Linked DNA regions of Elephas maximus indicus. Each later gene encodes a partner of the first gene's protein in a complex. Links are inferred from orthologs where the notes say so. Each region holds a gene or a part of one and is shown in the gene's direction. Other genes may lie near its edges.

Region 1 (9,544 bases):
AGTCTGGTCAGAATGAAGAGAACCCTAGACTTCTAATAAGTTTGAACTAATCGATAACCTCCCCTACCCCAGGCACCCCACACTTTTTACAGCCAGTTCAAACTGGTTTTAACTGGATTCAGATAAAATTCACCTACTTCTTGTTTTCACAAATACAACAGCTGACAGGAACAAACAAAAACAGCTCTATCTGTAAAGAGCAATGTGGTAAGAAGACTTTGGACCTTGAAGCTTACAGGAGTCTAATGAGATAATGTCTAAAAGATGTTTGAGCTGCATGTGTGAAAAGCTCTATGAAGACAGAAAATATGATAAATAACGTAAGAAATCTTTATGTCAGGAAATCTCCGATCTTCTGAAGGACTTAATAACTATTAAGTACTTTACAAACATGGACCTGCTAATCTTGTCTGTCAACTCCAACCCAGGTAGGTTGAAAATACTATTATTCCCATCTAACGAATAAGAATCTTGGTTTCTGATGAAAGATTTTCCAAGAAAATTCCAACAGGGAACCACGGCTGTTAAGATGCCTTCATATTAAGCCAAGCTTCCAACTTCAGTTCCAGCTATTGGTCAATCTTATCATCAACATGAAAGCACTAGCCCTAGCCCCCTCCAACTTTCTGCTCCATTCAAGCCAAATGTGTCTCTGCAGGATTCTCTTGGTATCCCAAATTGAGAAAAATCACAAAGCACACCTTCTTTGGGGTTCTTGAACCATCAAAGTGCACTCACCAAATGATGTTCTCAACAGTGATCACATAATGGGCTCCAGTAACTTAAGAGCTCAATTCAATTACCTACAAGTCTTAATCCACTCCTTTGTACAAGTCCCTTATTTCTTCTCTGGGAATTTTTTTACCCCTAACAACTATTTAAAAAAAAATTTTTTTTTTAACAACTATAAATAAGGAAATTTTTTTTTTTTTCATGAACTCTACAAGTAACAGATGGGACGTAAAATTTAGCAAGAATTATCTGATGGGAACAATAAAAAACATTTAGCATATACTCTTCTCACAAGCTCCTAAATACTAATGAACCTCCCATTTATTTGTTTTATATCAATATCATTTCATCTTTCAGAACCTTACTTCAAGGTAAGCCATTACCTTTTTTAACTTATCCAATCTTAAAAATAATTTTCTAGAATCATCGAGTCACCGAATTTCTATTTGAAAAATCAAAGGCTCAGAGCTGGGAAGAACTTTGATCAATTATTTGAATGAGTCCTTGCCTATGGACACGTAAATTTCATTAACAAATATTAAAATTTGATGACCTTCCGGACATTGTGCGATGCCTGACTTCTGGGAACATACACAAAGGGATAAGACAACTCCTTCACCTCGAAGGAGTTTACAATTCAGTGTAGTGGTTCCCAAAGTGCATCAGTGTCACTTGGGAGGGCAGTGTATAATTTTAAAAATGAATATTCCCAGGCTCCACTGCAGACTTGCTGATTCAGAAATTCTAGGGATGGGACCTCGGCATCTGCATTTTTAAAAAGCATTTTGGGTAATTCTTATGCATAGTAATGTCTGAGAACCACTGGTCTACTAGGTCTGAGGAAGTGTACAAAATAATATCAGTCAAGCGAGTGCTGAATATGAGCTAAACAGGGGGCCTGTCTTCTAGGGACACACAAAATATTCATCAGCATCGTCCCTCATTAGTACCAAATATTTATCAGAAAACAATGCCATCTCTTAGCCTTTTCCAGGCATTCTTCTAAATTATACTCACCACTAAGCTGGGTTTTGAGCTATCAATTTTATAATAAAAACCATTAATAGAGAGCCCTAAAATTTCTAGTGATCTACCATTCTTCCTAAAATGTCTAGTTCACTTGACAGTTTAGCTTCATTTAGATCATGAACCACTCATTTTAGCCCATTTTCTTCCCATTCTTTATGACAGTGTTCATAAAGAATAGCATTCTTCATAATTTTTCCTCTCTGACAGAAATACAAGAAACTAGTAACATGAAGAAAAGTTGGAGAACTCAGAAACATGTGAGATATCTGGACTTGGGGAAAGTAAGCTCAGCTCCCAGCAGAATTAACTGGCACGTATGGAATCTATATAAGACCCAGTGCTTTCTGTACAGACGAATCATCTGGGGAGCTGCTATCAATGCAGACTGCACAAGGGTCTGCCTTGTAGAAACGATACCAGGCTTGGGTATCCGAATTTTTAACAAGCACCCCAGCTGACTAGGATGTGAATGGTTTTGAGAAGCCATTCCAGGGATTTCAAAATTTCAAGTTTTTGTTAGATTGTCAATAAATACATATTTAATTGAATTAATCAACTAAAAGGGAACAAATAGAGAATTTCTGTTCATCTAATCAGAGCTTACATTCTGTACGTCAGAGCTGGGGAACCTTGCTTACATCATGAATTACTGTTCTCCAGAATTAGGAGCCACTTATAGTAAAAAAAGCAACTTAATGTAGGCTTTGTTGACACACCTTTTAGGGAGTATATAAAAAATTCTAATCACCAACTTTTAAAATCAAAAATATGCTGGACAGTGTTGCAAGACAAGAGGGATGGTTGACTAAGGGGAGGGTAAATGAGAGTTATTCTCTGGCCAACAGCAACAATCAGAGAAATATAATTCTAAGGATCATATAAAATCAAAGCAAATGGAATCCGCCCCTGGTCTCAGTGTCCCCTACTCCCGATGTTAGGATTGTACTTTCCCCCATTGCTGCAGGAATCACGACAAATTCCGCTGTCGTGGTATTATCTAACTACTGACAACACCAGAGCAACAAGGTGTTCTCATTCTCCCTTTCTCCGGGGGAACCAGAATATGATTGGGTTCTGGGGTTGTGAGCTTTCTGGGAGTCTAGGGAGAATACGTGAAATATTTATATAACATGCTCTCTCTCAACTAGTCCAAAGACCTATAAAAGGAGCACTGGCTTACTACTTAATGACTTTGTGACCTTGAACAAGTTCAACTCCTCCGAGGCTCAGCTTCCTCAGCTCTAAAATGGGTACCCAGATCTATCTGGATTCTGGTCTAGGTTCCTTCCACTCAGTGGTGATGTTTCCAACACCACAGTGCCTAACCGAGGTTTCTGGGGAAGGATCACATGAGGTCATTTTTGCAAAAGTGATCTGTAAGCTGTAAAGCACTATGGAGATGAAGCGGATTATTATTAGTCTTTTATATAGCTCAGCTATAAAGATGCAAAGTGGCCCAGAAAAAGAAAACAGGAGAGACAAACCTGAAATACAACACCTATAATACCTAGAACATTACCCTATACATGGTAAGTAGGTGCTTATAAGTACTGAGTGAGTAAAGAGAAACACCGGTTTGTGCTTTCACCATACTAAGTCTAATACCAAGGATCATTTGACTCAGTCATACAAACCGTAATGAGCCTAAGAGCTTAAATTGAAAAGTACTCGATACAGAAAAGCATTAATACGTGAAATGTAATCCTACCATCTGCAAGGAAATAATTATTTTCTTACCTCTTCGGTTCTTCAGATGCATCTTTGTAGGGATAACAGTACCTGGTGAGGCTGCTTCTATTTTCCTCTGCATGTGATAGATCTGCGTAATTGTCCTACCAACGTTTAAAGGAAATAAGTTCTATTGAATGTTGGGTATGTGAACTTTCTCTATTGCATCTGGAAACCTGATTTTTAGTAATATCATGATTTTAAGCAAACCGGATTTATCCACCAGCCCCCCAACACACATCCAAGAGGGAAATGAGGGGAAGATGAGGGAAGCAGTTATTTACTTCCTAAGACAATTCTTTACAGGGTTTCTTTGTCAGTTTCTCAGAATACATAAAATGTGATTCAAATTTAAATACTTTAGATTATATTACAGACAACTTTGGACAACAACAGCTATTTGTAGAATGGGGCAAACCCATCCCGGGAATTACAAAATATGAAATTTCAGGGGAAAAATATTTTCTTCTGGGTGGGCCTTAACTGCCTTCTTTCCCTGTTGCAAATGTATTTTTTGCTGGTTAACATTTCCAAAACTGGAGTTTTTTGGGGTTTTTTTTCCTATTGTTGAGTTTGCTTTCAGAGCCACAGAAATGCCCAACTGTTAGAAAAAACAGTTCCCACTGGCCACTCGTTCTTATTCCCACACAATCTTTCCTCTCGGACCCTTTCTCTAGAAGGGCCCCTGGGGCTGTCTGGTGGAACTAATTGTAAAACCATTTTGTGCAGTAAGAATTAACTGCTTCAAAGTCTCAGAGACCACCCAGAACAGGCCCAATCTTTGGCAAATTTGTACTTGTTTCCTTAATATTTGATTCATTGAGTTAACTGACCCAGGTTTCTGGGTCTTTATTTAAGATGGGAAAAAATGGCTCGAAAGATAAAAGAAGAAAATCTCTTCTTCTTTCACCAAAAATATTTAAAATGCATTTTGTGTTTGTGGCCGGGGCAGGACGAGAGATTTCGTGCACAGACCTCAACCAAGCTAAGTCATTCGAAATGTGCAAAAGCGTTTCAACTATGTTCAGGGAGCAAGCAGTTGCAAGCAGCTCACGCTTGCATTAGAATCTGTCCCTCTCCAAAGCTTCCCGAGTGTGGGAACTCTCCTGCCCTGGTGACGGCGGGAAACCCTGAGGCAAGGTCAGCGATGGCAAGGCGGGGAGGAGCCCCTGGAGAGCAGGCCCTGGCTTTTTTTCATCCTGCCGTGTGCTTCTCACAGCCTTGCCTCTCACATATTAGGTGCTCAATAAATGCTTGTGTAACGCAGAAAACGAAAAACCCAAATTTGCCCAGTGGCCTGGGCCGTTGACGCGAATCATCCGGAACGCAGGTTGATTCAGACCCACTACCTCCACCCGTTTACGGAGGTAACTGGCTGCTACGGCCTCAGCAGCCCAAGAGTAACCAAGAAGGCGAGCGGCTGGAGACAAGATGGAGAGGGAGCCGGAGAGAAAAAGAGGCCGCGCGGGGCGCTAGCTGGGGAGAGGCGGGTTAGGGGGGGCCCACCTGACCGCCGTGCCGGCGACCCAGCCCCGCGCTCCCATTGACAAGGAGGTCCGCGCAGTCCGCGCGCGGGGCGGGGGCGGGGCTCCCCGGAGCGCGCTCTCGGCCTCAGGCCCCGCCCCTGCCCGGCCGCGCACGCGCCCGCCCCGGGGGAGCCGCAGACCCGAAGGTGCTGGGGGAGGGGAGGCCGCGTCGCGCGCGCGCCGCCACGAACTGACGCGGGCCCGGTGCGCGCGCCTCCCCCCGCCGCCCTCCGTCGCAAGCCTTCCCAGTCCCGAGGGCCCAGCGCGAGGCCCTGCTGACGTCAGCGGGCGGCTCGCGGTGCTGGGTGCGCAGAGCCGCTGGCGCACTCGCGCGCTGCGCTCGCAGCCACCCCCCGTCGCTGCCTGGGCTCTGGCGCGCGCGCCCGCTCTCCCTTCATTTTTTCCCCTCCCTCCCTGCCTCTCTCTCTCTCTCTCTCCTTCCCCCGCGAGCTCCCGGCTGCCCGCGACTCCCTCGCGCTCTCCGTCTCTCTCTGGTAGGCTCCACCGAGCAATGAGAGCTCTGGGAGGCAGCGCCGCCGCCCCCTAGAGACCTGCCCCCGGCCCGGCCCCGTGCCCAGCCCTGCCCAGCGCGCGGGGGTCGGCGACGGCGCTGCGGACGCACCGACGGCGGAGGGCCGGCGATGCACATGCACTAGCGGCACCCCCTAACTCACTCCCTCCACACCCCGCGCCGCCGCCGCCGCCGCCTCCTCCTCCTCCGGCAGCAGCGGCAGAAGGACCCACCCTGCCCCCCACCACACCCTCCGCCGGCTCCGGCTGCGGCTCCAGCCTCGACTATTATTCTATTTATTTTGGGTGGTGCACAAGCCTCAGTGCCTGCAGCCCGCGCCTCCCTGGCCCGCGGCCGCCTCCTCCCTCGGCTCCGGAACCCCAGACCCCGACCACCCGCGTCTCAACACCTCCAGACCCCTGCCAGCTGCCTCGAGTCTCCGTTGCTGAAATTTGTTAGCGGCGGTCTTTTGGGGGAGTTCTGGTCTCCCGACATTTTTGTTTTCAGCCAAGGGGAGGATTTTTTTCCCCCTTTGAGCCAGGCTCTGCTCTCCGGGGGGGTGGGGGGCTCGTCGAGTCGGGGAGCCGTGCCAGCCGAGTCGTGCGGGCTGTGGCAGGGAAGGGGCCACCATGGGATGTACTCTGAGTGCAGAAGAGAGAGCCGCCCTCGAGCGGAGCAAGGCGATTGAGAAAAACCTCAAAGAGGATGGCATCAGCGCCGCCAAAGACGTGAAATTACTCCTGCTGGGTAAGGGCTACGTCTGCCACCCCCATTCCCCGACCCCGGCCACTCCGCACTTCCCTCAGCCACCTCCCCCACCCCACCCGCTCCCGGGGAGACCTGGTCCCCAAATGGGCACCACCATGTGCCCAGGGTCGCCGACCCCCAGCATGCCTTATCTCTACTCCCCCTGTTTCCTTAAGCTGACACTCACCAGTTTTCCCCCCTCCTGTCTGTGTCCCAACAGGGGCTGGAGAATCAGGAAAAAGCACGATTGTGAAGCAAATGAAGTAAGTCACTGTGGCATTGGGATTTGTACTTTTATTAAGAATAATTTTTAAAATCATTTTCATTACCTTGCTCATTCCACATTGCTCTCCAGGCCTGGTTTTTAATTCATGTATACACACACACACACCTCGATTTGGCTCCCCTCCCCGACACCCTACGTTGGTTCTGGGGTCCTCCACTCCAACTCCAGGGTGGGTGGGTTTTTTGTTTGTTTTTGTTTTTTTGAGGGGGGGAAGCGCCTGTAGTTATATGAATGACAGTGTCCGCCATATTGATCAGAACATCACACTATTGGCATGATTATGATATTACTCCTGCTCGTGGGGTGTTTCGTGTGTCTCTCTGCTCCATTTCAGTCTCTATCTCTGTTTCATTCTGTCTCTATTCCCCTTCCTCCTCCCCCCATCCCCCTCTCGTCCACAATCCCACTTTCCCCTGCTCTTCTCCTGGGGCACTGATTTTGAACTTGGCTAAAACATGGAGGGGACCCAGCCCTAGACTGGGGTGCAGGATCAAGTGTCTGCTGTTCTTGGATTTGGTGCTGAATTGGAGGCTGTACTTTCTGCCTCTTCCTCTCCACCGCCAAGGTTGAGGGTGGGGAAGGGGGCAGAGGACGAGAATTAGGGGAGGGGTCGTGTGTTGGGGGAAGGGAGTGAGTTTCCAAGCGGATGTGACTGGCACAGCTGTATCCAAGGCAGAGGTGGAAAGGGGACGCTGGTGTGAGGCTTAATGCCCGCCTCCTTGCTGCCCCCGGTCCCTCTCCGCCCCCACCCTCCCAGCGTTTGCTCTCCTGACGCCGGCAGTTTTCGATCACTCTGTGGCCTTTATCATTGTGTTTATTTACACTCTGCATAGGCCGTGTTCCGTGTAACCTACCCACAATGCGGATTTCAGGCCCCACTTGCCGCCGCCCCCTTTTGCCTTAGATATCAGTTTCCCCTCCTAATTAACTGGAGGTGGATTTGAGTGATGGTTGAAAATTAAAACAAAATGGGATATTGCTTCTCTTCTACACTTTCTCAATAAGGAGCCTCGCCCCTCCTTCCCACTCTCAGGCTGGCTTCTTGCCCACTCCACTTGGCAGTTCCTGGTGAGCTCTTGGGCAGCTCTGCTTGGGGAGGGGGTGGCTGGTGGGGAAGGGGTGCAAGCCCTCGGGGCCTCCTGGCCTGGCAGTTTCCCTTGGCCTGTCAGTTCAGGACGAAGGAGTTCGTTAAGACCGTTTAGCGAGGATTCCACGTCTCTTTGCTGTGACACCTTCGTGCACACACGACTCCTAATTAGGGGTTGCTGTGCAGTAAACAAAAATGATTATATTTCAACTTGACAGAATAGCAGAAGTAATTGCATCCCGCAGGAAAACAATGGAAAATAAAAACCCCTTTCGTGGGAAGGTGGGTGGGAAACGAAGCATGCTTGCGATTTAAGAAGAACCAAGATGCAAAAAATCTTGCATGTGTAACAGGCATGACAAGCGGGTTCTAGGCGGCGCCATGATGGTAGGTAGTAGCGACTCGGAGACAATCTCCCCCATCTGCTTGACATGTTCTTATTTTTGCTCGAGAGCTCCCTCGGGCTTTCTTCGCAGAGGCCCCCTCGGCTCGCCGCACCCCACGGGCAATTTGGCCTGGGGCTTCTCTAAAGCTTGTGCAACCCAAATGGATGAGGAGGCGGGGCCTGGGGAATTGCTCTTTGCAACAAGGTGCATGTTGCATCTGCCTGGAGCCCTTGCAGGTCGGTAAATGCAAGCAGCGCCATTCCCATCTCCCGAGGGGAACGCGTCAAAACTTCAGAGGTCTGTAAATCTGCAGTGGCAGCCTCAGACAGAGCCCGATAGAAGCCGAGCCACCGGCGCTGGGTGAGGTTTCAGGCGTTGCGAGTGGTGGACAGCGCCCAGCCGAGGCCGGAAAAGTCGATGGAGCTCGGCTCGACTGCGCTCGGCTCGGCTCGGCGCGGGGCTCGGAGGGACTCGGCAGTGTTCGGAGCCGAGTCGGGGCCCTGACGGAGAGAGCCGAGTCGCTTCGGAGGGGGCCGAAAGCATTCGGAAACGCTCCGCGGCAGGGAGGGGAAGGGCGGGGGGCATGCCAGAGTCCGCAAATTAACTTTGCATCCGCCAAAGCGACACGTTACCAGCTTTCCCTGAACATGCTCCGTAAATTAGGTTGATTTAATAAGAAGTTTAAAAATATATACTGAGTCCCCCGAAGGATAATGTTACCTACCTCGGCTTTTCATTCAAAGAGAGCTGAGCTCTCCCAGGAGATAGGTGTGCCATTTTAAAATGAAAACCCCTAATTATGTACTGGGGCAAGAAATCTTAAATTAAGGTTGTATGTAAACTTTCCCGGGAAAGTCCTACGTGTCTCGTATTGATACATATTTGGGTACACTAAGGAGGGAAAAATGAAGCCTTTGAGGTTTGAGATGATTAAGTCAGAAATCAAGGCATTTCTTCTCTTGCCCTGCGATTCTGCCTTCCCTCACTCCCACAGAAACATGCGCTGACAACTTTTTGGAGAAAAACTGAGATTTTGGAAGTGAAACATTGAATACTTTTTTAACTCATTACACTTGCTGTCTTTAAGGATATGGGTTTGCTCAAAAAGTCAATCAAAAAGGTTTCTAGACCAGGTACATTTTGCTGCAGGAGACCAGAGTAAGGACTCTGGGCCCGGTCCTCCCAAACCATTCACGAACGGCAGCTTTTCCCGTGAGGCCTCCAGCTTGGCTTGAAGTAAGTCAGATCAGGGCCTTGAGCCAAGCTGGATGAAGGACTTGTTTTATTAACCACAAAATGTGGGATTGGTGTCACTGTATCCTAGTGACAAATTTTTTGAGTCCTCCCTTGCAGAGATGGTTTTTGCGAGATCACTGCTTGACTGAGAGTCACTGAGTCAGGAGGAAAGTATGGAGGGTGGGGCCCACCTAGGCCGCACTTACAGAAAGCAATTCCTGACTTCCCAGTGCTCTACAATTAGTGACCAGCCTATCAGGCCATAAGTGTGAGGTT
Region 2 (9,644 bases), on another chromosome or scaffold:
AGCCATGGTATTTTCAATCACCTCATATACGTGTGAAAGCTGGACAATGAATAAGGAAGATCGAAGAAGAATTGATGGCTTTGAATTATGGTGTTGGCAAAGAATATTGAATATACCATGGACTGCCAGAAGCACCAACAAATCTATCTTGGAAGAAGTACAGCCAGAATGCTCATTAGAAGTGAGGATGGTAAGACTTCATCTTGCTTATTTTGGATATGTTATCAGGAGGGACCAGTCCCTGGAGAAGGACATCATGTTTAGTAGAAGGTCAGTGAAAAAGAAGACCGTCAATGAGATGGATTGTCACAGTGGCTGTAACAATGGGCTCAAACATAACAACGATTGTGAGGATGGCACAGGTCCAGGCAGTATTTAGTTATGTTGTACACGGGGTCATTGTGAGTTGGAACCCGCTCGATGACAACAGCAACAGCCTATACACAAATTATTATTGAGTTCTTTTACATTCTTTGGTTTTTTTTGGTACTAAATCTTTGAAATCTGGTGTGTATGTTACACTCACAACACATCTTAATTCAGACTTGCCACCTTTACAGGTTTGGTAGCCACATGTGGCTAGTGGCTGCCATATTGGACAGCGCGGATCTTGATCTTGAAGGAGAGCATAAAAGTTACAAACACAGTATGGTGTAGTCACACTCTGCCCTGCAATCCCATTTCTAGAGAGTTTCTTGCAATAAATCCTTGTGTGTGGACACAGGGCAGAGGTACAAGGGCACACTCATGTGAAAACACGCAGTGCAATATGAGCAGAAATAGTGGAAACCACCCAAAATTCCACCAATAGGGAAGTGGTTCCATAAAGCAGGTTTCAAACTAACAGTGGAACGATTATATTGTTCAAAGGGAACGAGGAGTTTCTGAATGCATTTACTAAAACATTCTGAAAAAAGAACAGCGATAAAGGATACAATTGGAACAACGTATGGGATTTGAATAAGGACTGCAGATTACATAATAGTAGTGTAAATCGCTATTACATTTCCTTATTTCGATAATTGTGCTATGGTTATGAAAGAGAATATCCATGTTCTTAAGAGATACACACTGAAGAATATAGTGGTAAATGCCCATGATGGATGCAACTTACTCGTAAATGATTCAGGAAAAAAATGTATAGATAGATAATAGATATTTGTAGTTGTTAGCTGCAGTCAAGTCAGCAACTCGTGGGGATCGTATGCACAACAGGACCATTGTGATCCATAGGGTTTTCATTGGCTGATTTTTGGAAGTAGATTGTCAGATCTTTCTTCCTAGTCTTAGTCTGGAAGCTCCGCTGAAACCTGTTAAGCATCATAGCAACATGCCATCCTCCAGAAAGGCCTGGCAATCTGTTTCAGTTAGGATTGCAGCCAAGAAAACCCTATGAAGCAGTTCTACTCTGACACACAAGGGGTCGCTATGAGTCGGAATCTACTGGATGGCAACAAACCAAAAAACCCACTGCTGTGGAGTCGATTCTGACTCATAGCGACCCTACAGGGTAGAACTGCCCACAGGGTTTCTAAGGAGTGGCTGGTGGATTCGAACTGCCAACCTTTTGGTTAATAACCATAGCTCTTAACCACTAGGCCACCAGGGTTTCCTTTGCCACCATAGATACGGATATACAGATAGGTACCCCACATACATAAATAGCGCAAACATGCTAAAGCACATAGAACAATTACTAACCAAGAGTCAGTCTGGGTGGAGGGCATACAGAAATTGCCTTTGCTATTCTCGTAACTTCTTTTTAAGTTTGAAATTACATTAAAAGAAAAAAATTATCCAAAAAAAAGCATTCTGAGAAGAGGTCCAGAGCTTCACCAGGGGCCCAGAGCATAGAAAATCTTAACTCATGATTTAAGGGGATATATAACTTGGATCCAAAATCATAAAAGTAAAGTGGGTGTCACCTGGCCTCCTGCGTCTCCTCCCCACTTCCCCCTCAAGCGCCTCCTTGAGGTCAGGTTCAACACAACACCATATTCCTAGGGTGCACCCTCAATCTCTGTAAATCCACTTCAAAATCCTTTCTGAGTCAGCAGATTGTACATTAGGTGCCCTGGTAGTGCAATGGTTAAGCACTCAGCTGCAAAGCAAAAGGTTGGTGGTTCGAACCCACCAGCTGCTCTTTGGAAGAAAAGCCCAGGCAATCTGCCCCAATAAAGATTATGGTCTAGGAAAACCTATGGGGCAATTGTACTCTGTCCTATAGGGTTGCTATGAGTTGGAATCGACTCGATGGCACACAACAGCGGACTGTACACACGGCTTCGTTCAATGGAACCAAAACTTGCTGAATAGCATACACCCATGTGCCCATCCCCAAACACAAATACCACATTTGTAGAAGTCTGGGCGATACATTCCAAACTGCTAGGAAGAGTTTCAACAGGGTGGCAGATAGGGGACTTTCAAAGCTTAATTTTTTGGGGGGGAGTAGTTATTTCCGGATTGTTGGAATGTTTGCAATGAGCATGGATTACCTCTGTAATGAAAAGAAAACTATTTTTTTCTTTTTAAATTTTGGTGAAAATATACACAGCGGGACATATACCCATTTGGCAATTTCCACAGGTACAATTCAATAACGTTGGTTACATTCATCACATTGCGTCAACGTTCTCGACATCTCTACCCATGTTATCTCACCACCATTCTTTTCAATTTTTAAAAATCGAAGTCGCCCTAGAGAAATACTTGGTTGTTGTTGTTAGCTGCCCCTGATTCACGGCGACCCCGTGCGCAGTGGGACAAGATGCTGCCCCGCCCTGTGCCATACCCCTGATGGGTTGCAGATTGGACTGTTGTGATTCGTAGGGTTTCACTGGCTGACTTTTGGAAGTAGATCGCCAGGTCTTTCTTCCTAGTCTGTCTTAGTCTGGAAGCTCTTTCGAAACTGGTTCAACATCACAGCAACATGCAAGCCTCCACTGGCAGGCGTGTGTTGGCTCATGAGGCGCATTGGCTGGGAATTGAACCTAGGTCTCCCCCATTGAAGATGAGAATTCTACCACCGAACCACCACTGCCTGTCATAGAAAAATATTTACTGTGGAGGAAGGAGGTGGATGATAGATCATAGGATTGCAAAACAGCGTGTGTAAAATGCACCTGGTTTGCAATCTTCAGTCAGCATCGTCATTCATTGTGATTGGCTGAATAATGGCCTCCGTGACGTCCAGTCCGAGTCCCCAGAACCTACAAATATATTACCTCACGTGGCAAATGGGTCTTTGCGGATGTGATGGAGTAAAGGATCTTGGGATGGTGAGATGACCCTGGATTATCTAGGTGATCCCCAAATGCAATCACAAAAAACCAAAAACCCACTGCTGTGGAGTTGATTCCGACTCATAGCGACTGTATAGAATAGAATAGAACTGCCCCACAGGGTCTCTCAAGCTGTAAATCCTTATGGAAGCAGACCACCACATCTTTCTCCTGTGAAGCGGCTGGTGGGTTTGAACTGCAAGTCATTCTGTTAGCAGCTGAGCGCTTAACCACTGTGCTGGCTAATTCTGGCTGGGACCAAATTCAAGGTGTTGTGTTCCTCATGGAGGAGAGCTGCTAGAACTGCCTTCCTCGGCTCATGGCGCCTTCCTCCATCTTCAAAGCCAGTAGCCTAGAGTCTTGCTTCAGACCTCACATTGCGTTCTTCTTCGTGTCAAATCTGCCTCTGCTTCCCTCTTATAAGGATCCTTGTGATTGCGTAGGCGCCCTGGCGGTGCAGTGATTAAAGTGCTCTGCTGTTGACCGAAAGGTCAGCGGTTCAAACCCACCAGCTGCTTGGGGGGAGAAAGATATGTCATTCTGGTTGGAAACCCTATGGGGCAGCTCTACTCTGTCCTACAGGGTCGCTATGAACTGGAATCGATGTGACAGAAATGGGCTGGTTTTGGTTTTTTGTGAAGACAGAGGCAGAGATAGGAGTGATGGGGCCAGAAGTCAAGGAACGCCTGGAGCCACCCGAAAGTGGAAGAGGCAAGGAAGCGTTCTCCCTTAGGGGCTTTAGAGGAAGCAAAGCCCTCCTACGCAATCACAAGGCTCCTTATAAGAGGCAAATGTGACACAGAAGAAGAACGCAATGTGAGGACGGAAGCAAGATGCTAGGCTACTGGCTTTGAAGATGGAGGAAGGGGCCATGAGCCAAGGAAGGCAGTTCTAGAAGCCCTCCTCCAGGAGGAAACTCAACGCCTGGATTTTGGCTCCAGCCTTGGTGGTGCAGTGGTTAAGTGCTTGACTGCTAACCGAAAGACAGGCAGTTTGAACCCACCAGCTACTTTGCAGAAGAAAGATGTGGCAGTCTGCTTCTGTAAAGATTACAGGGCTGGAAACTCTATGGGGCAGTTCTACTCCATCCTGTAGGGACACTATGAGTCAGAATCGACTCGACAGCAGTGGGTTTGGTTTTGGTTTTACGTGAAGGCAGAGGCAGAGACACACAAATCAAGGAATGCCTGGTGCTACGTGAAGCTGGAGGAGGTAAAGGTGGATTCTCCCTGACAGCCTTCAGAGGGAGCACAGCCCTGCTGACACCTGGATTTTGGTCTTCTGGCTTTCAGAACCGTGAGAGAATAAATCTGCATTGTTTTAAGCCACCAGGTTTGTGGTATTTTGCTATGGCATCTGTAGGAAACTAATACAGGATCCTTATTCTATCCTGGCTCCAGCACATCTCCCAGAGAACCAGAAAGAGGCTGAAACAGACAAGACACAGGTCCCATTTCCAAGTCAGACAATTGTGGCTCAGGGGGTGGCTTCTCCTACCAACTTTAGAACCCTAACTAGTTGCTGCCGACGTACGTTGACCTCTGTGTGCAGAGTAGAACTGTGTGCGCCATAGGGTTTTTAAGGCTGTTACTTTTTGGGAGCATGTTGCCAGGCCTTTCTTACGAGGTGCCTTTAGGTAGGCTCAGATTGCCAACTTTTTGGTCAACAGCTGAGCGAATTAGCTGCTTGCACCACCTGGGGACTCCTTTCAAAACTCTGTTGTGTTGTTGGGTGCTGTCGAGTTGTTTCTGACACAGGGCCATTCCATGTGACAGAATAGGACTGGCCCATAGGGTTTCCTAGGCTGAAACCTTTATGGGAGCAGATTGCCAGGCCTTTCTCCTGTGGAGCCTTTTGGTTAGTAGCCAAGAGCTTAGCCATTGTGCAATTAGGGTTCCTTTTCAAAACCCTAGGAAAGAAGATTTAACAGCAAAATGTGCCCAAGCACTGGGCCACCTCCTCAGACCTGCTTGGCTTCTCTGCACTTCAGAGCAACCTGGCTGGGAGGCAGGGGCCACAAACCCTGCTTCCCGAGGCCCCCGTGGGAGTCTAAGGTAGCTGGGTCCCTGGGCTGTGGTGCAAAGGGAAGAGAGAGCTCTAAAATGGGGTAGCCAAGGCACAGAAAGGGGCTGAACCCAGATTGGGGTGGGGGCCAGGGGGCTCTTCCAGCTGGCTTTCTCCTCTCTCATACCAGGGACTTCCTCAGTATTCCACGCCCTGTCCTCCCTCCTCTGACTGGGGGGAGATGTTCGGAGTCCCTGGGTGTGTGTGTGCCCCAGAAAGGGGGCCCAGCAGAGTGTCCAGTGCACAGACCAATCAGAACCCCAGAAAGGAAAGATGGTCATTTCCTCCCCGGCTCTCCGCACCCTCCCTTGGGGGTTTAAAAACCACAGCCCTTGTGGGCAAGAGGAACCTTCCCTCAGCGAAGAGCCCAGAAGACCAGAACATGGTAAGTTCAGAAGGAGCTTGGACATAGGAACTCTCTACCTTTGTTCCCTCATTTCTCGGCTCCTTTTTTCTCTCCAGCATTTTCATTCTCGTGTTTCTCCTTTTCTTTCCTCCCTATCCCCCTCCTCAATCACTCCTCTTCTCCCTTCTTCCTCATCTCAGAGTCTCGGACTCCAGGGCTGGGATGAAGTTTAAGGATTAAGGCTGTCAAGGGACAATGGGAGCCACAGCAACCCCACAGGGCTGGAGGTCCAAGAACATTTCCCAGGGAAGCAAACCCTTGAGTTGGGTCTTGTAAAAATGACTAAGAATTCCACAAGAGAAGAATTTCAGAAAGGAGTTCCAGGCAGCTGGAACAGAAGGGGCGAATGTTGGGAGGCTGGAGACAGCCAGCTTGGAGGCATGAAGATGTTACTCCCGTGGAATTTCATATATTCTCAATAGTGGAGATGGGGAAACTGAAGCCCAGGCCAGGGCAGAAATGGCCTGGGTCCTTCACAGTGGTTGGTGGCAGAACTGATACGTTCCTTGGATCCTGTGAGTCTCAGAGGGATGCTGTCCCCCGGTGCAGCGAGGGCCCCCCTTACACATCTGCATCCTGAGGTCTGGGGACCAAGCTGGGCAGGGCTGTGGGTTAGCACTTGGAGTCTCTCTCAGGTATTGCTTCATCTGGCCAAAAGGGGAAACGGAAAACAAGTTGGATGGACATGGGAGGGGTTTGATGTTGCTTCACTCTCCTCATCCCACCTTTAACATCCAACTTGGGCAAACAGGACTTTCAGAATAGGGCAACTTACTAGCTGCTGCTGCTTCTTCTTTTCGTCCTTTCTGTAAAATATTCCAAAACACCGAAGGGGATTCAGTGAAAATTCACTCTCCCTGACCACCCCTGAGCCTCAGACCCCTTGTCGTTTCCTTCAGATGTAAACACAGTGTCTTAGTTATCTAGTGCTGCTATAATAGAAATACCACAACTAGATGGCTTTAACAAAGAGAAATTTCTTCTATCACAGTCTGGGAGGCTAGAAGTCTGAACTCAGGGCTTCAGCTCCAGAGGAAGGCTTTCTCTGTCGGGCTCTGGGGAAAGGTCCTTGTCATCGATCTTCCTAGTCTAGGAGCCTCTCAGCACAGGGATATAGGTCCAAAGGATGTGCTCCCCTTCTGGTTCTTCATTCTTGGTGGTAGGAGGTCCCCCTCCTCTCTGTTATATTCTCTTTTATATCTCAAAAGAGATTCACACAACATACAACCTAATCCTGTTGATTGAGTCTTGCCTTATTAACATAACTGCCTCTAATCCTGCCTCATTAACATCATAGAGGTAGGATTTACAACACACAGGAAAATCACAACAGATCACAAGATGGCGCATAACCACACAATACTGGGAATCATGGCCTAGCGAATATGGCACACATTTTGGGGGGACAAAATTCAATCCATAACACATGGGTACCAGTTGGTGGTTGATCCTATCAATGGAGAATTAGGTTGTTTCTAATATATGAGCTTTAAAACTAAAACGGCAATGAGTATTCCTGTACTTATATCTTTGGACTTACCTTTGAGCTTCCAGAATTGCAAACACTGAATCCAGGACATGTGCAATTTTTATTTTAACAGATTACCAACATTGTATCAATTTATATTTCCCACCTATAGTGCCTGAGAGTGCCTGTTTCCCTATGCCCTCACCCACAGTTTTATCGCATTTTTTTTTACTTTTGCCAACCTGAGAGGCAGTTCATTCATTGCATCCTCAAAATACCTGGAAGCTTGTCTTTTTCACCGCATATTTTAAATGTGTTTACGTTTTTTACTGCTTCCAGTTCAGACCAGTTACTGTCAAGTTAATTCTTATTCATGGCAACCCCATGTGTGTCAGAGTAGATCCATGCTCCATAGGGTTTTCAATGGCTGATTTTTCAGAAGCAGGTCACCAGGTCTTTCTTCTGAGGTGGACACGAACCGCCAACCTTTCATCTAGCAGCCAATTTGCACCACCCAGGGGCTCCTTTTTTTGTTTTTGTTTTTTTCATGGTAATAGCTTTCTTGAAGAAGTCAGAGATGCTTTCTGAACATTTCAATAAGCCTGTCATCCTGCCTCAGTTTTTTTCTTAGTCTTTATTTCTTCTTAAATTTTATTGTGCTTTAGGTGAAAGTTTACAGTGCAAATTAGTTTCTCATTCAAAAGTTTATAAGCAAATTGTTTTATGACACTGGTTGCAATGTGTCAGCACTTTCCCCCTTTCCCTTTACACCCCAGTTTCCCCGTGTCCATTCAACCAGTTTTCCTGCCCCTTCCTACCTTCTCGTCTTTGCTTTTGGGCAGGTGTTACCTAGTTGGTCTTATGTATACTTGATTGAACTAAGAAGCACATTCCTCACATGTGTTATTGTTTGTTTCATCCCCCCCACCCCAAAACCAAACCTGTTGCCATCAAGTTGATTCTGACTCATAGTGACCCTGTACAAAAAAGTAGAACTGCCCCACTGGGTTTCCAAGGAGCAGCTGGTGGATTTGAACCGCAGACCTTTTGGTTAGCAGCAAAGCTCTTAACCACTGTGCCACCAGGGCTCCCTCCTGTTTTTTTCATAGGGCTGTCTAATCTTTGGCTGAAAGGTGGATTCTGGGAGTGGCTTCAGTTCTGAGTTAGCGAGGTGTTCGGGGGTCATAGTCTCAGGGGTTCCTCCAGTCTCTGTCAGACCAGTAAGTCTGCTGTTTTTTTTGTGAATTTGAATTTTTTCCTACATTTTTCTCCCGCTCTGTCTGGGACCCTCTATTATGATCCCTGTCAGAGCGGTCGATGGTGGTAGCCAGGTACCATCTAGTTGTCCTGGGCTGAAGCTGGGAGGCTGTGGTTCATGTAGTCTATTAGTTCTTTGGAGTAATATTTTCCTTGTGTCTCTGGTTTTCTTCATTCCCCTTTGCTCTGGATGGGATGGAACCAATGCATCTTAGATGGCCACTCACAAGCTTTTAAGACCTCAGACCCTACTCACCAAAGCAGAACATAGAACATTTTCTTTATGAGCTATGTTATGTCAGTTGACCCAGATGTCCCCTAAGACCATGGTCCCCAGCCCTCAGCCCCAGCAACTCAGTCCCTCAAGGTGTTTGGATGTATCTAGGAAGCTTCTATGACTTTGCCATGGTCAAGTTGTGCTGACTTCCCCTATATTGTGTGTTGTCCCAGGGACTCCTTTTTAATATTCAGGGATTTTTAATTACAAAGGTTGTGTGAGTTAAAGAAAATAAATATGAGTTGAAGGGGCCGCCCCCACCCTTGTAATTCATTTTTCTGAGGTAGCAACCTATAAGGATTTTATGCGGTTCTGTGCGTAGATTGTTAAAAGACATTCTGTCCACGTGGGAACAGGGGAGGCAGATGTTTAAGAAAAAAGCAGACCTTGCCTTTCATATGTCTCCTGGCTCTGACAGCGTTCCTAAGTAGGTCTGTTACTTCCACTTTAATGGGAGAACAGTTGGCAGGACTTTCCCCACTAGAAAGGCAGAGAAACTGAAGCTCATACAGGGAAGGGGCTGTGACAGTGTTTACCAGTTACTCCTCCCACACACCAGCTGCACAACTGTGCACAAGTTTTGTCTCTTCCCTGTGCCCTCAAGTCCTTCGTCTTTTCTCCCTCTTTTTGCCCATTACTCTAACCCAGGTCAACATCATCGTTCACCTGGATCCCCAACCCAGCCTCTTCTCTGGTTCCCCTGCCTCTGAGTTCACCTTCAAAGTGGCCAGAGGGAATCTTTCTAGATATAAAATTTAACCTAGCACCTCTCCAGCTAAAGGCCATCTATGGCTCCCTATTGCCCCAGGATAAAATACAAGTCCTTTAACATGGCATCTGCAGACCTTTCTAACCCCGTCTTGGCTACCTGCCAGTTTTGCTCACCTT
Region 3 (9,356 bases), on another chromosome or scaffold:
AGACCAGGTGTTCAACAGCCTTTGTAAAGGGGTGAGGGGCAAGGGGGCATTAACTCCACAGTGTGCGTCTGCTGTTCTGTGGCTGTCTTCTGGGGGCAGCCCCTGGATCTTCCTTCAGGACACCCACCCTCAGGTGGCCCACCTCTAGATGAGACCTGGGACATCATGTCAGCACTTCAGGACCATTGGTCAGGCCTAGGTTGCCCCATCCTCCATCCAGGGCTGCTCTCTGCTGGGATGTCACCTGGAGGGACCTCTCTGAGGGGCCAAGTGTCTGAGCTCAGACCCAGAGAGGAGGGCTGAGCTGAGCAGAGGGCCGGGAGAGTGTGGGGGCAGGGTCGTGGGGAGGGAAGGTCAAGCACTCATACACACAGACACACACACATATAGACACACACAGACACACCCACATATGGACACGCATATACACATATACACAGGCACACACACAGACCCGCATGCACACACATATGGACAAGCACACACACGTAGACATGCACACAGACATGCACAGACACACACACAGACCGGCACACACAGACCCACATGCACACACATATGGACAAGCACACACACATAGACATGCACACACACACACAACTCGCCCCCTCCTTGGGAGTCCCTCAGACCCGGTCCCCACCCTGCAGGACCCTGGGGACATCTTCATTAACTGGATTCGGTGTCCCCAGCACTTAGCGCTGTTGGGCTCCTTATTTTTCTGACAGGCTCAGCTCCTCCAGGAACTTTGCTGGTCCCGAGGGTTTGGGGAGTAAACAGAGAGGCACCTGCAGCAGGGATTGGCAGTGGAAGGACTCTCCTGTCTCCTCCCCCAGGAAGCAATTCTTTGAGCCCCAACCCTGCCCAGAGCACCCCCACGGTCCCCTGAGGGGAGCCTGCTGGGAGGAAGAGGTGCCCAGCATCCTGCATGTAGGCTCAGGGGCTGGGACCATGTATACACACAGATGTACATGCATACACATGCACACACCCACGCACGCACACACTGTCCAGGACCCAGTGTCAGTGGCATGATGGGGGAGGCCTGGACAGCCCTGGGAGGAGAGTGGGGCCTGTGGGTTTGTGCCCAGGAAAGGGCAGGGAACAGAAGGAGACTCTGCCAGGTTTCAGAGGCAAGAGTTGGGCCTTTGGGGGCCGCTGAGGTCAGGGTGGTGTTGTTGGCTTCCACTTCACCCCTGGATGGAGCAAGGCAGCATGGCCAGTGATGGCCACACAGCAGTCAAACTCCCCAGAGCCACCCCAAGGTACCCAGCCCAGTGGGCCACCCCTCCTCCACCCCAGACAGACCCCCCCACCCTTGGGGGCACAGAGGCATGGCTGACCCTCTGCTCTCCAGGGCCCTGCTGAGGCCTGTCCACTGAGTGCCCCCCAGTACTGTGCTGATTCCATGCCCCTCCCACCTCCACCTGCTCCAGCAGCAGGCCCCCAACTTGCCTACTTTCTCCAGCCCCAGGGCCCTGGGTCGCTCTGGCCTTCCTCTGGTCAGGCCTGGTAGCCCCCAGGAGTTTAATATCAACTGTCAGGTCTGGATTCAGGATGAACTCTGGTACCTGGGGGCAGGTCCCCGGTAGCACCCACTGTGGCATTGTCTGGTCACAGCCCCCACAGTCCTGTGTGTGGTGGAGGCTCACCTGGGGCTAGGCCCAGCCCCCACACAGCTGGGTGGGGCTCAGAGCCATCCCTGCCCCTCCCAGTCTGTTGGGCTGAGGGCTCTGGAGAAGGCGCAGCAAACAGAGGACCACTTTCTCGCTTCCCTTCCTTGTTCCTCCATGATTTCCTTTATCACTTATGCAGCAGGACCTGCTCAGGTGCAATTCATTTCAGGCACTCAGCAAATATTTATCAAGCCCTCAGAGTGATGCATGGCTCCTCATGCTGACCTTCTGTGGTGGATATGTTGGGAAGCCCATTTCATACCCCAGAAAACTGAGTCTCACGAGCAGGCAGGAAAGAAGCCTGCAGCCGTGGGGACAGCTGTGACCTGGAAGAGACTCCCTGCCTGAGAACAAAATGGGCATGGTGCAAAGGCCAGTGGGGAGAAGCAGCTCTCCCAGAGCTCCTGGATGCGGCTATACCTGAAACTCATTACCCTGCACTTTCCAGCCCTGGGCAATAGTAAGCAGTCATTTTCCCCAGGCCCTTTTGAGCTGGTGTCTGCTACTTGCAGCCAAATCAGAGCAGCGACACCTTCAGGATGGAGGTGCTTGAGGTCTCCTGCTCAGCAGCAACTGGGGACCCTGGAGAAGATCTCACTCCGCCTTATCTTCTGCCTGTCACATGTCCCCAGACCCAATTCTGCCCTGACTCCAAAGGTAGGGAGGGAAAGGCAGGCTCTGCTCTGCTTCCTGTTCCAAACCGCAGCCTCGGGAGCCATCCTGATCACACTGGGCCCTGAGCTCACCAGAATGCACCCAGAGCTGCTTCAGAATGTCACGGGTGGGGGGGGGGGCAGGGACAAGGAACAAAGAAAGAAAACTTTGTACTCCCATATTCAAATGATTCCTCCGGGGGTGGGGGGGAGGGGAGAGAAAGCAAACAGCAGCTTCCATGGAGGTAACATCGAGGCTGGACTCGGAAGCCCCACAGGTGCCAGGAAGCTGCCTTGGTGTGACAAGCAGGCCAAGTGTGCTGCCGCTGGCTCTTGAGGCCCCTCATTACTCCTCATAAGTGGCTATGTCCCTGCACAGCAGGACATGCAGCTGGCTCAAGGGAGTAAAGTGTTCCCATCAAGGCAAGCTGCTGGCGGCAGGGCCCACAGCCCAAGACAAGGAAGAATGCCTGGGGCCGCGTCCTGCTGGCCTGATCCTGGCAACACCCTGCTTGTTTTTCCAGCCCAAGCTCCCCTACCCAACCCCAATGCCCTTCTGACCTCTCCCCTAGAACATCCCACTGGCAATTCAATCTCGACACAGGGCACATCGTTTTTGGCACAATGTCCCCAAATCCTGCTCCTCTACAGATTTCCCACCTAGAATTACAATAGTCACAGGAGAGCAGCCAGGGCCGCCTGCCTCTCCTCCCTCTTACTCCTCCCCTCAGCCCTGGGTGGTCAGTACTATGGAACTCCCATTCCAGGATGGAGACACAAAGTGGGGGAGGGGGCTCTCAGCCAGTGAGCAAGAGAGCTGGAGCCCCCTTTTTACCCCCATCCAATCCTGCCTTTTGAGGCCTCAGGTGGGTCCCGCAAAGCACTACCAAGGTCACTGGGGAAGAGCAGGGGTGGGCCCAGAGGGCCCACTCAGCAGGGAGCTGCTGGCTGAGGATGGGGTGGCTGGAGCATGGACCCAGCAGCTAAGGAGGCAGGATGATGGGGGGCAGGGGGCCCAATCACCCTTGCTGCCCAGCTCCAGGAACTTTCCATCTCGACTTGTCCCACCGCTAGGCAAATTGGGGTGGTGCAGGGAAAGTGGGGAGGCTGTTAGCGCAACAAGGTTGCTGGTGGCAGGGTATGAGTGGACCCAGGCACCCCAAGAGGGCTCTTGGGCAGAAGGAGGCACTGGGGTCCCCAACCCTCCTCCCAGCACAGGCTCAGAGAGCCAGGAAATCATGGGCTGGCTGGGCTGAGGGTCTGGGGGTTCCTTCCTGGGTGTGTGCAGGTAGGAGCCCCTGCCCAACGAGGGAGTGGAGGGAGCCCAGCCCCCCACTCCCAAAGTTTCTGAAGCATGTGTTGGGGCTGGCAGAGGGGTGGGCCCCCCATACTCAGGGGCTGCTGAAAGTATGGGGGTGCTTTGTGTGCCTGTGCCTAGGGTCCAATCTGTAGCCCCCTGACTTCCCACCTAGGGGTGGCAGCCTTGTGGACCCCCCCTCTTACCACTCCTTCCCCCAGGCACTGGGGTGAGCCTGTCCTGCCAAGGCTGCTGCCAGTGTGTGCTACTGGCGGCAGAGGGAGCCGCAGCTTCCCTCCCGAGCTCTGTTGCCTAGCTGTCTGCTGTCTGATGTGTGTCTAACTGCCACTGTGGTCCCTGACGCTGGGTGACTGTTTCCTTGGTCTGTGGGTTTCTGTGTGTCTGAGTGTGGGTGTGTCTGTCTGTCTCACCGTGAGTGTCTCAGGCTGCATCTGTCCTTGACCCTATCTGAGCTGTGTCGGGGGTGGGGGGCGCTTCCTCCCCACCTCCCTTCCCGCAGGGGCTAACACGGTCGACGCGGCGCAGCCGCCGCCGCAGGCAGCGCGGGAGCCCAGTGGCCTCTGTCCGCTGCAGCAAGGACCGCCTTTCCTCTTGCCCAGCGGGGGTCCCGGCCCGGCTTGCAGTCCCTTGGCTCTCTTCTCCACTGGGGGCGCTGAGCCCGGGGTGGGCGCGCTCCCCTCCCAGCTGGGCCGCTTGGGCTCCCCATCTTCCCTTATGTAACTGAACATCTGTCTGCGCCTGACAGGTCACCCTGGACCCTACGCCGGGCCCTGCCCACAGCGAGACTGAGGCCAGAGTCCGACACATGTTGGGGGTGGACCTGGCCGGGGACCCACTCTCGGAGACCCCCTCCCTACCTCTCCTTCTTGAGACGTTCCACCCCCGGAGACCCGCTTGCCCGAGGCGTGAGACAGGGAGGGCACCCACAGGGCACGTTTCCCTGGGCGCGGGAGCAAGGCGTTTCTGCCCCCACCCCCACCGTGGGTCCCCACAAGTGCCGGGCTCCCCACGAGGGCTGAGCCGGGTCACCGGGGCCAAGGGCACGGGGTAGGCCGAACGACCCGAGACCGGCTCCCGCGCGCTGGCCGGGTGGGCAGGCGAGCTCCCGGCCCGGCCCTGCCCACCCAGGGCCCCGCGAGCCGCGGCCCTGCGCCCCGCGTCGGGCTCCAGCCAGCCGATGGCACGCGGCGCTGTCCGTGGTGCTGCCGGCTCCGGGCGGGGCGGGGGCGGGGCGACGGCGACAGCCAATGGCGGCGGCGCTGCGCCGGGTGGGGGGCGCCGGCTCCGCGCTGGGCGCATTCGCTGGCGCTGCGCTCGGGGCGCACGGACGCTCCCGCGCCGCTCCGGCTCTGCTTAGCTTGGCGCCCGCTGCTGGCCCGGGCTACTGGCCCGGGCTCTTCGGCGCAGCTCGCTCGCTCGGTCCCGGCGCCTGCGGACCATGCGCCGGGCGACCCTCGGGGAAGCAGACCGGGCCGAGAGCCCGGGGGGACGAGGCGCCCGGCCCGGAACCCCTCCCGGCCGTCCGGCCCGCCGCCCGTGCCTTACCTCTCGGCCCGAAGTCGCGTGAGCCGGCGGGAGCCATGGAGCGCGCGCCGCCCGACGGGTCGCTCAACGAGTCGGGGGCGCTGGCGGGTGAGGCGGCGGCGGCGGCGGCGGCGGCGGCGGCGGGCGGGGCTCGCAGCTTCTCCGCCGCCTGGACCGCGGTTCTGGCCGCGCTCATGGCGCTGCTCATTGTAGCCACGGTGCTGGGCAACGCGCTGGTCATGCTTGCCTTCGTGGCCGACTCGAGCCTCCGCACCCAGAACAACTTCTTCCTGCTCAACCTGGCCATCTCCGACTTTCTCGTGGGTAAAGCCCCCGCGCCACATGCCAGCTTGCGGGACCTGGGCCCGAGCCGCCTCGGGCGCCTCCCGCTCGGCACGCGACCCCGCCGGCAGCCAGGCTGGGGAAGGGTGCTGGGGGTGTCCCCAGGGAAGGGCCGGCGCGACGGGCACTCAGCGAGGCGCAGGGCGCAGCGGCGGCGGATGCAGCGCTGGCTCGGCGCCGTGGCCAAACAAAGGCTGCAGGGACTCAGGACGCGCGGAGCTCAGGGGGGAGGGTCTTGGGAGGTTTGGGGGAGGGCATACGGAAGAGCGGTTCTCCGAGCCGTGTTGGGGGAGGGGGGCCGCGAGAAAGGCGGGGGTGCACAGAGGAGCGGCGCACTCTCACGTGCCCACACTCTGCTGCCGGCTGGGGGGCGGGGCGCCGAGGGGGCCGAGCGCCAGACACCTGTTGTGGCTGCGAGGTGTCTTGCCGACGCTAGGAGCGCGGCTTTCCTGAGGGAGAGGCTGCCAATGTGGCAGCCAAGTGCCCTATAAGCCAGTGAACAGCTTTCTCAGTGTCTGAGCTGATGCTCAGGGCCGTCCAAGGCCAGGCTAGGGGCTGGGTCCCAGCGGGCAGGAGGAGGAGGAGGAAATTCTCTTTCCTTTGGGGGCTGGGGAGGGCTGGACAGAAGCCCAGTCCCAACTCCAGGCTCTGAGTCTCCATCTAGACAAACACCCCATGACCTTCCCTCCTGCCCCCATATCCAGGGGTCACCAGTGGGGAGGGGGCAAGAGTTGAATGAAGACCAGACACAGAGCAGAGGGTGTGCCCTAGGAGACCAGGTGTGGGGGAGGGTAAGGTGAGTGCTGTGGTCTTAGACGCCCAGGTCCCTCCACTGGGCCGGCACTGTCCACGGCCCCTGTCCAGCGTGGCCTCCCTGTGCCTCCCCCCAGGTGCCTTCTGCATCCCCCTGTATGTGCCCTATGTGCTGACCGGCCGCTGGACCTTTGGCCGGGGCCTCTGCAAGCTGTGGCTGGTGGTGGACTACCTGCTGTGTACCTCGTCTGTCTTCAACATTGTGCTCATCAGCTACGACCGCTTCCTCTCAGTCACCAGAGCGGTAAGTCCCGGGACAGGGAGGGGCCCAGCAGGTGATGTCCTGAGTCCTTCAGTGGTGCTCATCACACCTGATGACTGGCTGCTCAGTAGCCATGTGCTGCCAGAGGGCTGGTCCTGGGGTTCTGGAGCCAGAATCGGATGCCCTGATGGCAGGGTCCCTTCAACCACCATCAGGGCAGGTGCACAGTCCTGAAGCTGAAGGAGGATCTGAGGTCAGAAGCCCTTGGCAAGACCTGTGTTTGCACCTCCCGCCCTGCCACGCACATACACAGACACACATGCACATACTCACAAATCACAAACACACGCACATGTGTGCACACAGGTGCACGAAACACACCTGCACATGTGCATGCATACGCACACATCCACATGCGTGCGTGCAGTGTACATGCACACACAATGGACACATATGCACAATACATGCATGCATATACATGCATACGTGCAAACACATCCACAGTGCACAAATGCACCTGCACACATGTGCACAAACACACGGACACACACATGCACACTTGCACACAGATGTTGCACAATATTCATACACAGAGAACATGCACACATGCCCCTGCACACATACGTGCATACATATACATACATACATGCACACACCACTCTGGCAGACAGGCAGTGGCCCTGGCTCTGTGGTCCTCCCTTTCTTTGAGTGGCAGCCATGGTAACCAGGAGGCAGGGCCAAGAGGCTGCCTGGGTTCTCTTTGCCTGTGCATTCTGGGCACAGGGCCGGCTGGGCTGGAGCAGAAATCACCCCTCGACCTTGCACTCCCAGGGGTCTCCCCTCTGCCGGGGGAGGTATCTCCCCGTCTAGCCTCAAGAAGCTATGGGACAGAGCACACACAGAGGGCACAGGGTGGACCAGACAGATCTCGCTGCAGCCCCAGCTCCACCCTCCTTAGCCGGCCCACCTGGGTTCCCCACTCCCTTCCCCAGCCATCGGGAAAGCCAGGATAATAATAGCTTTGTTGGGCAGGTTAAATGAGATAATATCCATAAAGTGCTTCCCTCTGCTGAGCCCCTCCAGGGGGAACTGCTGATGCTGCCTGGCCTGGCTGAGACAGAGCAGAGACATCTGCCATGTCCCACCCTCCCTCCTTTTGAGCTGTTTGCTTTCTGTACTTGAGAGGAGCAGTGCCCCATGCCCTGCCTGGATCCTGGGGAGGACTTGCTGGGCACTGCCCCGTCCTCCTGCTCTCCCTTCAGCTCTCCTGGTGTGGCTCCAGGATGCTTTGTGCATGTCAGGAATGGGACTTTGCCCAGGAACGGGCTGGCACTGGCTTCTGCCTGCCCCCCAGTTCCCTGGGGAGCTACATGCAAAGCGTCTGCACAGGGCTGGGCTGGGCTGGGCCTCCCCTGGCAGTGGCTCAGGCCTCTCTCTGCAAGCCCCACTCATGTGGGAACAAGATGCTGAGTGGCGCCTCCTGTGCAGCTGAGGCAGGGTGGGGGCTGGCAACTTGGGGAGATGCCAGAACCCCAGGGAGCTCACAGCCAGGGTGGAGGGGTCAACAGGTAGCCAAGCACAGTTAGGATTCAAGTTGATCTGGGGGAGGTTCTGGGGAAAGCCCGGGAGGCTTCCTGGCAGAGGCACTATGAGCTGAGCCCCGAAGGGGGCAGAGAGAGGGGAAGGCCAGTGCACAGATGCCAGAGACTGGCCTGGGCACCATCCCTGTCCCTGCTGACTTTCGCGCCGCAGGTGTCATATCGGGCCCAGCAGGGTGACACACGGCGGGCGGTGCAGAAGATGGCGCTGGTGTGGGTGCTGGCCTTCCTGCTGTATGGGCCGGCCATCCTGAGCTGGGAGTACCTGTCCGGCGGCAGCTCCATCCCCGAGGGCCACTGCTACGCCGAGTTCTTCTACAACTGGTACTTCCTCATCACGGCCTCCACGCTGGAGTTCTTCACACCCTTCCTCAGTGTCACCTTCTTCAACCTCAGTATCTACCTGAACATCCAGAGGCGCACGCGTGTCCGGCTGGATGGGGTCCGAGAGGCGTCCGGCCCGGAGCCCCCACCCGAGGCCCAGCCCTCCCCGCCCCCGCCCCGGCCCAGCTGTTGGGGCTGCTGGCACAAGGGGCCCGGGGAGGCCCTGCCCCTGCACCGGTATGGGGTCAGTGAGGCGGCCCCTGGCCCCGATGTGGGGGAGGAGGCCCTTGGGGGTGGCAGTGGGGGAGGAGGCGCCACAGCCTCCCCCACCTCCAGCTCAGGCAGCTCCTCAAGGGGTGCAGAGCGACCTCGCTCGTTCAAGCGTGGCCCCAAGCCCTCGGCGTCCTCCGCGTCGCTGGAAAAGCGCATGAAGATGGTGTCCCAGAGCATCACCCAGCGTTTCCGCCTGTCAAGGGACAAGAAGGTGGCCAAGTCCCTGGCTGTCATCGTGAGCATCTTTGGACTCTGCTGGGCCCCATACACGCTCCTGATGATCATCCGCGCTGCCTGTCATGGCCACTGTGTCCCTGACTACTGGTATGAGACGTCCTTCTGGCTGCTGTGGGCCAACTCAGCTGTCAACCCCGTGCTCTATCCGCTCTGCCATTACAGCTTCCGCCGCGCCTTCACCAAGCTGCTCTGCCCCCACAAGCTCAAGATCCAGCCCCATGGCTCCCTTGAGCACTGCTGGAAGTGAGGAGTCCTCCAGACCCATGCTGCCCCCACATGGCCCTCCGAGGAGCCGTATCATGTCTGGGGCCACCCTAAAGGCCAGGCAGCCTCCCTCAGGCCATCTGCACTGCAGCGGTGGGCATGGGGGACCCGTGCTGGCTGAACGGGAACATGGTA

The links. The genes of interacting proteins can lie anywhere in the genome.
Region 2: the proteins of GNAO1 (region 1) and C5AR1 are in contact, whole or in part, in a cryo-EM structure (PDB 8JZP), measured with the Homo sapiens proteins. The link is inferred for Elephas maximus indicus from reciprocal best matches to the Homo sapiens genes GNAO1 and C5AR1. Residues at the interface, in NP_066268.1 of Homo sapiens: Ala31, Lys32, Lys193, Asn194, Leu195, Glu318, Tyr320, Phe336, Thr340, Asp341, Ile343, Ile344, Ala345, Asn347, Leu348, Arg349, Gly350, Cys351, Gly352, Leu353, Tyr354; in NP_001727.2 of Homo sapiens: Asn71, Phe75, Arg134, Leu137, Val138, Pro141, Ile142, Gln145, Ile225, Thr229, Arg233, Ala234, Thr235, Arg236, Ser237, Lys239, Thr240, Val243, Val244, Ala303, Gln305, Phe307.
Region 3: the proteins of GNAO1 (region 1) and HRH3 are in contact, whole or in part, in a cryo-EM structure (PDB 8YN7), measured with the Homo sapiens proteins. The link is inferred for Elephas maximus indicus from reciprocal best matches to the Homo sapiens genes GNAO1 and HRH3. Residues at the interface, in NP_066268.1 of Homo sapiens: Ile28, Ala31, Lys32, Asp33, Val34, Lys193, Asn194, Leu195, Asn312, Pro315, Asn316, Lys317, Glu318, Ile319, Tyr320, Phe336, Thr340, Asp341, Ile343, Ile344, Ala345, Asn347, Leu348, Arg349, Gly350, Cys351, Gly352, Leu353, Tyr354; in NP_009163.2 of Homo sapiens: Asn69, Asp131, Arg132, Ser135, Val136, Ala139, Val140, Tyr142, Arg143, Ala144, Gly147, Ile221, Ile225, Arg228, Arg232, Thr345, Phe348, Arg349, Arg352, Val356, Leu360, Cys415, His416, His417.

What each region holds. Positions count from the first base shown.
Region 1 is NC_064839.1:23,235,193-23,244,736, forward strand, and holds the start of GNAO1 (guanine nucleotide-binding protein G(o) subunit alpha), read left to right. Parts: upstream 1-5,405; 5' UTR 5,406-6,155; coding exon 6,156-6,273; intron 6,274-6,493; coding exon 6,494-6,536; intron 6,537-9,544. UniProt on the Homo sapiens protein: Guanine nucleotide-binding proteins (G proteins) function as transducers downstream of G protein-coupled receptors (GPCRs) in numerous signaling cascades.
Region 2 is NC_064829.1:101,634,155-101,643,798, reverse strand, and holds the start of C5AR1 (C5a anaphylatoxin chemotactic receptor 1), read left to right. Parts: upstream 1-5,512; 5' UTR 5,513-5,529; coding exon 5,530-5,733; intron 5,734-9,644.
Region 3 is NC_064843.1:5,727,645-5,737,000, forward strand, and holds the start of HRH3 (histamine H3 receptor), read left to right. Parts: upstream 1-5,224; coding exon 5,225-5,492; intron 5,493-6,400; coding exon 6,401-6,567; intron 6,568-8,277; coding exon 8,278-9,204; 3' UTR 9,205-9,356. UniProt on the Homo sapiens protein: The H3 subclass of histamine receptors could mediate the histamine signals in CNS and peripheral nervous system. Signals through the inhibition of adenylate cyclase and displays high constitutive activity (spontaneous activity in the absence of agonist).